2 linked regions of the Daphnia pulex genome follow. The protein of the gene in region 1 interacts with the protein of each later gene in a pairwise test. Links are inferred from orthologs where the notes say so. Each region holds a gene or a part of one and is shown in the gene's direction. Other genes may lie near its edges.

The links.
Region 2: the proteins of protein lin-7 homolog C-like (region 1) and MAGUK p55 subfamily member 7-like interact in a two-hybrid assay, tested with the Drosophila melanogaster proteins (2 studies listed by BioGRID). The link is inferred for Daphnia pulex from reciprocal best matches to the Drosophila melanogaster genes veli and metro.

Annotation. Positions count from the first base shown.
Region 1 is NC_060028.1:9,843,184-9,846,537, forward strand, and holds protein lin-7 homolog C-like, read left to right. Parts: upstream 1-1,253; 5' UTR 1,254-1,402; coding exon 1,403-1,445; intron 1,446-1,521; coding exon 1,522-1,563; intron 1,564-1,626; coding exon 1,627-1,875; intron 1,876-1,967; coding exon 1,968-2,077; intron 2,078-2,139; coding exon 2,140-2,295; 3' UTR 2,296-2,655; downstream 2,656-3,354. Other genes in the region: T-complex protein 1 subunit zeta-like, read right to left, coding at 2,814-2,883, 2,943-3,252, 3,318-3,354.
Region 2 is NC_060027.1:1,671,139-1,675,065, forward strand, and holds the start of MAGUK p55 subfamily member 7-like, read left to right. Parts: upstream 1-1,361; 5' UTR 1,362-1,528; coding exon 1,529-1,550; intron 1,551-1,624; coding exon 1,625-1,953; intron 1,954-2,031; coding exon 2,032-2,166; intron 2,167-2,258; coding exon 2,259-2,282; intron 2,283-2,406; coding exon 2,407-2,574; intron 2,575-2,662; coding exon 2,663-2,785; intron 2,786-2,897; coding exon 2,898-2,971; intron 2,972-3,035; coding exon 3,036-3,160; intron 3,161-3,735; coding exon 3,736-3,927. Other genes in the region: uncharacterized RNA-binding protein C365.04c-like, read right to left, coding at 63-269, 328-972.

The DNA of each region.
Region 1 (3,354 bases):
TGGTTGATTTCATGATGATGAATAGTCTGGATAAGAACTGTTAAGATTAAGTGTAGTAACTTTTTCTTGACTAAACCTCGCTCGTTCAAGAGAACACGATGCCAGCTAATATCGACACCGACTGCTATTTGTACCTCCTGTCCTGTCCGCACTAGGCGCGTTCTTCGTCTATCCCGGCGGGCGGCCAAAGAGCGGGCGGCGCGACGCTCACAGCATTTGTTGACTCAGCCGTCGTCTTTCAAGTGAATTACCATATCAATCTCTCGGCAACTTGTCTGAATACTTTTTTTTTTATGTTTTGTTTTTCGTCGTCCTCTGTCCCGAACGCACTCATCCGCTCTTCGATACTTGTGTTCTCCTATCAAATGCGGCAGACATCTAGGTCATAATTCAACATTTGACCTATTAAAGCGTAAACAAAATTCGCAAATCTGGAGTTGTTGCGTTACTTTGACATTCAAAAACATGAAACAGGGTAATGGATATTCGGACCTCATTTCATCACCAAAAATCTAGGCCAATTCCTCCTCCACCACTTCCCCTCTTGTGAGGATGAGTACTACACATCAGACAAAAATTGATTAGTTTAAATCGACTTCCATGAAAATCAGACTACAACTCTATTTCAAAACATTAGCAATCTGACTCCTACTGACACACCCAAACACATTTGTTTTCTTCATTTTGACCTTGTGCTTAGACATGTTTCTGTATCATCCTTTCATTCTGAATACGTAATCGGTATATCATTGAAATTTTTTAAAATACTTAATTGCAATAGTAGTTTAAATCCTAATAGAAACGTCAAAAGACCCTGGTACCAATGCCTGACTATTCCATCAGTTTTCTACTGTTAAATAAGCGACAACAAGTTTATGCTAAAGCAGAAAAAGAAAAACGATTCGATAAATCTGGGGGACTGTCATCAGCACCCTAACAAAGTGATGCTACTTTTGGAATAGTCAGATGTAAGCGGAACTTGGTATAAGGGTGCGGGGAGAGGGATTGGAGAGGGTATGGCACATGCTATTGATTACCTTCTAGTCTAGAGGAAACCGCTTCTGGCTGGCCGAGCATTACGGGGTACGGCAAATACAGCTACTATTTAACCTGAAATTTTTAAATACAGTTTTTTTTAAACATTAGACAATTAAAAATTTCTCGTTGAATATTCGAAAATATATCGGTACATTTCAGGTTTAAACTATGATATAACACTTTTTGTAATTAAAGAGGGCGTTGGAGAACAGATCCATCGCCGGACAAATCAGTTTTAGGGCGGAGCCTATGTATTGACAGAAAGTTCGTGTGTTTTGCCCTGAAAATTCTTCCATTTTTTAACCCAGTTTTGACATTTATTGAAGTTTTTCTCATTGCAAACCTCTACTTCTTGATATAAACTATGGCAGCTACTACTATAAGTGAACAATTGTCTCTCGACAAAGGTAAACGGCATTTACTTCTGAAGGCAACTAGCTGTCGTGGAACGCTCTTATTAATCCCTTAAAATTTATCTTCTAGATATAAACCGAGCTGTGGAATTGCTGGAGAAGTTGATGAAAAGTAAATCTTTAAAATATCAGTTATCAAGAGCACTAGGTCATAATAATTTCTAATCAAAACTAGGTGGAGAAGTTCCAACGGCAAAACTGTCTGCTCTTCACAAGGTGCTGCAGAGTGACTTTCTAAGAGCTGTCAGAGAAGTTTACGAACATGTTTATGAGACAGTAGAAATGGGAGGATCACCTGATGTCCGAGCTTCTGCCACAGCCAAAGCTACAATTGCAGCTTTTGCTGCTAGTGAAGGCCATGCCCATCCTCGAGTCGTAGAACTCCCCAAAACTGATGAAGGTCTTGGATTCAATGTCATGGGAGGTAACAAAATAAATACATTTTTATGCATATCCTTTCCTTGAGAATGCAATGGTGAAAATTAATTTTTATAATTACCAAATGAATGTTTGTAGGAAGGGAACAAAATTCACCAATTTACATATCAAGAATCATTCCTGGAGGTGTTGCAGACAGACATGGTGGTCTAAAGCGTGGTGACCAATTGCTCTCTGTTAATGGAGTGGTAAAATTGATAAACTTACTTCTTCCATTTAAGTTTTCTCTGACTGTTAATTTTTTTTTTAGTCGGTAGAGGGTGAAAATCACGAGAAAGCTGTGGAACTCCTGAAAGCTGCTCACGGTTCAGTGAAACTAGTTGTGCGTTACACACCAAAAATATTGGAAGAAATGGAAATGCGCTTTGATAAACAAAGGACCACGCGCCGAAGACAACCGTACTAAGTTCACTTTAACAAATCTCAATTAGGAGCATCATCGTCCCCATCGCAAATTTTGACTCCTCGTATTATCAATAGTGTAACCAATTCCCCATCCTGACTGTTACAAAAATATTCAATATTGTGTAGCTAAATATTTCATAGTTAAATTCTATGACAAAGACGGTTACACGTTATCACTCATGAATGTAGAGAAACCTTCATTCGTCCTTGCAATTGTTTTTTTGCTTATTTTGAACACAAGTTGCAAAATGGAAGAAATAGTAGCAACCTTTTCTTAAATGAAACCATTAACTAAGCTAAAACCTGATGTTAACTGATCTGTAGACTTATTTGTTGAAATGAATATAACTTCGGAATCAAACAATGCTGTTTTAGTAGTGATTAGCAAATTGTAATAACATTAGTTTCTCAAGCGGACGAAAATGGTAAGCCGGAACGAAATTAGAATTCAAGCAGATTGATTAGAAAAAAGTCATCCATTGCTGCTCAGGAACTCGGTGGACCTTGAGGCACGGCCATTTACTTCAATGAGGACAAACCAGCACGCATAATCTCATCTACCAAAAGCAGATTGCTAGCGATGACCGTGCTAAAAAAATAAAAATAAATAAATAAGTTGGTAACATCAACAATAATTTTGAAACTTACCAAGAATGGAGAATCTGTTTCTTAACACGATAGTTATCATAGATTCCTAAATCTGCTGGAATCATCGGCTCGCCCGATTGTAGATCAAGACCAATAAGGGGTCCACCTTCAACAAACTCTTGTTGCATTTTGACAATAGAGTCTTGAGGGTCAAATCCAGCGTTTTGTGCCAACACTTTCGGAATGACCAGCATGGCATCAGCATATGCTTGAACACCAAGACGGGCGCGACCCTTGACTTGCTCCTTGTATGCAACCAAGACCTTATGAGTTGCAATTTCAACAGCTCCAGCACCGGGAACGACGAAAGCTAGTATATCGATTATCAAATGATATTACCATCTTTTAAATGTGTTGATTCAAATTTTGACTTACTATCTTCTAGTGCGTTGACAACTGCACGAAGTCCATC
Region 2 (3,927 bases), on another chromosome or scaffold:
GGTTAGGTTTGAAAAAAAGGAAGTTCTGGTAACAAAAGAAATGTTACCTTTTTAAAGTCTTATTAACCAAAGGATTGATTTTGAGAAAATTTCCCCCATGGTCGCTGCTTGGCCGAACTAATTTTGCCTTCTCTCGAGAGGAACCTCAGCTTTAGTGTCTTTTCCTTAATCAGGGCCATTCTTTTCTGACTAGTTTTGCTGCCGCCAAAGGTACATTCGACATTGATTCGTCTTCGAGCGAGGAAGGTGTGGTGCATACTCAAAACATTCTAAATGAAAAAAAAAAATTAGCTTAGCTTTACCATAACGGAAGAATTAGACAGATACCTCGTAGGTAACGTGCTCTTCAACTTCAATATAACCAAATCCTCTGGGCTGATTGGTTTCCTTTTCCAGCGGAATCCGGACATTCTTGATAGGCCCACATTTGGCGAAATGACGGAGGATATCTTCTTTTGTAGTGTCGTATGACAAATTACCAATAAATAGGGTGTAGCCTTGAAATTTCTGTTTCTTTCTTTTGCCAGATTCTTCAGTAGCCTCAGCATCACCAGTTGTTTCACCTCCAACTACATTTTTCTTTTTTTTCTTTTTCGGAGGCTTTACAGGTGTTTCGGGTGAACCTTCAATTGGCTGAGAAGCAGAAGAATCTTGATGAGTGGATGGCTCATCACTTTTTTCATTCGTCTTAAATTTCTTTTTCTGAATAGGGCTATTTAAAATTTGATTATCTTCACCTTCTTCAGCATATTCTATTTGTTGTCTTGAATTGCGAGAATTATAGGTAGATTTTGCACCTCTACTGGAATCTGCTTTGAACCCGAAACTGTTTTGAAACCTTCCACGTTCTTGACCGCCATAGCCATCAAACGAGGATCCAGCACTTTCTGTGGTTGAAGCATTCGAGTTTTTGAATCCTCTAGCTTTCCACTCTGTAGCATTGTTTTGAGCGAATTTCTGCGCCTTGCTCATGTTGACCTTGAATATTTTTCGGTTTTACTGTTGCACAGACAGATGCAGGGATCTGGGAGAGTTAATATACGTATTATAAACAAGTGTAACAAAATACTATAAAAACCTTTATTTATTACCAGAATTGAGTTAAATTTGATTTGTTACCAAAAATTGTCAATACACTTTAAAAGAGAACGAAAATACGCGTGGTTGAGAAATGAAGTACTATCGATTATTGTGAATCGACTTTGAAGAGACCGCTGTCAAGTTTCTTTCATTTTATTTTTATATGTTTTTATCAACCAAATTTAGACGTAGTGCAATTTAAATATTTAAAAAATAAATAATGATATTGTTTGAAAATATTTCAAGAGAAAGTAAATTTTATTGCGTGAAAACGGCAAGCACAATTCAGCCATTGAGTTTTGGCCTGTCAATTCGGGGATTGAGAGGGGAGGGAAGCCTGAAGGATATTTTGACCGGATTTGTTTGTTTTTCCCCGTGTATTGATGGACCATTAAAGTAAATTTGCAATACATTGGATACAATTGTGCGTGAGCTTGTCGTTGTGAAAATGACGTCCCTCCCTAGTGAAGGTAAGCTGCAACATTTCTCCTTAGCTCTGCCTGTTTATAGCTCTTTGCACATAATTAACCTCATTTGCTTATAGATTTGTCGAGACTGCTGGCTACACTGCACCAGACTCGAGGCGGCGATGATTTCCAAGACATAAACTTCCTCAGCCAGGTTTTGACTTCCAAAGGAATGACAAACTTGCTTCGGGTGCACAAGAAAATCAGTGCTATAGTGGGCAAGCCCAACTCTGCCTCAGACACCAATGGTGGTCTGGAATACGAGCCAGAGATGATTGTTCCCATCGTCTCAAATGTGTTCAACATCTCTTGTGAAGTGATTGAAATCCTTCAGAGCTTTGTGCAGCGCAGTGGAAGCAGGGATTCCCGGGAGCTCATCTTGCTGCTCCAACGCCCAGCTTTCCAAGTATGTGCACTAAAACAAGTCTAGCTTTTGTATTTTGGTTTTTCAGTAAATTATTGCTATTTTTATTAAATATTTCAGAGTCTCCTGTTGGTCCATGATACCATATCTCAGAAAGATTATGTTCCCAAATTACCTGAACCTCCATTTGACACTGTTGATGAAGACGAAGAGACTATCAAGATTGTTCAGCTGGTCAAAAGCAATGAACCATTGGTAAATCTATTTCCCATTCATCTTCACTCTAGTTTAATTCAATTCCATAATGTTATGAACAATTATCTTTCCTAATGCTTATTCTGGAAAAGGCTCAAACTGCTGAGCCTATAGTGGTAAGTAGCATCTTTTCCGTGTCTGTAACTAGCGCAATCCTTCAATGCGACAGTCTTCAATTGATCGTGAAAGAAATGATTGGAAATTTTAAAAAATTTATTGAAATCGATTGTGGCAATATAGGGAGCGACGATCAAGACGGACGAGCGGACGGGGAAGATTGTCATCGCTCGTGTGATGCATGGCGGTGCTGCCGATCGGTCGGGATTAATCCATCCCGGTGACGAGGTCGTCGAGGTCAACGGCATCGATGTATTGGGCAAAACGCCCAACGATGTCCTCGAGATTCTCGTAAGTTATCGATCGATCCCCCATCAGTTTTTGGCTCGTGCGTTTTTCGATAACTTTTCAATTCCTTCCGATTCTCTTTTTCTGGCAGCAAAACGCCGAAGGAACCATCACATTCAAATTAATCCCGAGCGAAAGTCAAAGGCCGTCGAGGGAGAACCGCGTACGAGTTCGAGCGCTTTTTGATTTCACGGCTGCCCTCGATCGATACATTGTAAGTTTTGGGCATCGAATAAATCAATTATATTATCTTTGTGGCTTTGAATTGCCGCCGTGGTTGTTGCACAATCATTTTTTTTTGTCTTTGTCTGTATACTTCCGTGAAGCCGTGCAAGGAAGCCGGACTGGATTTCCGAAGAGGAGATATTATTCATATCGTTAGTCAGGACGATCCTTACTGGTAAAGGCTTTAACTTTGTTTTATCATATAGACAATTGACAAAATAAATCATTTGGTTGAATAGGTGGCAGGCGAGACATGAAGGCGATAAACAGATGCGTGCGGGATTAATTCCCAGCCGAATGTTGCAAGAGAAACGCATCGCTTACGAACGGGCCCACTCGGCTAATAATAACGCCGATCAGCAAGGTGAGTCTCTTTTATTCATTGCGATGGTTATCGATTTCTTTTTAAATGAAAATAGGACAAAAGTCTTATGAAAAAGATTTGGCCTGGTGCACGAAATAGTTAAGAGGATTGTGACCGTTTGCCAAACTTTTTGTGTGCCCATTTCGACCATTTGAATAGTTGTAGACCCACCCATAAAAGAAGGACCAGCCAGTTGTTTGATTATTGAATTCGACCGACCTCTTTTTCTCTTTTTACGTTTGCCATCATAACAGTTTTATTGATGTCGGCTCGCTCCCCCTTTGCTCTTCTCATCCAATAGAAATCAATACCTTTGATGTTTGGGATCCAAGAAAAATCGATAAATCTCCTTGTTTAACCAGAGATTTAGACGTTAGAGAGACTCTGTTTGTTTGATTTCGGTTTGCGGGTTGGCTGATGTTGACGCTTGATCGATTCTATTTGATTCTCATCCCTTTTGCTTATGATCCGTCTATTCTTTTGTCCGTGTGTTTATTTCGGTTATTTGGCTGATGCTTCCGTACCCTGTTTTGACCCCCTACCAAAAAATGAAAAATGAAAAATGAAACCAAAAGAAAAGGGTTGCAGTCCGGCCCGCTCGATGGGCTCCTTGAAAAGTGAAAGGAGCAGTCCCACTCAAAAAGTCATGTACGCTCTGGCAGAGAACGAAGATTTCGACCGGCAAGAGATTGTCACTTACGAGGAAGTGGCCCGTCTGATGCCGTACCCGGCCGTTCCCCGGCCCATCGTTCTCATCGGTCCCCCAG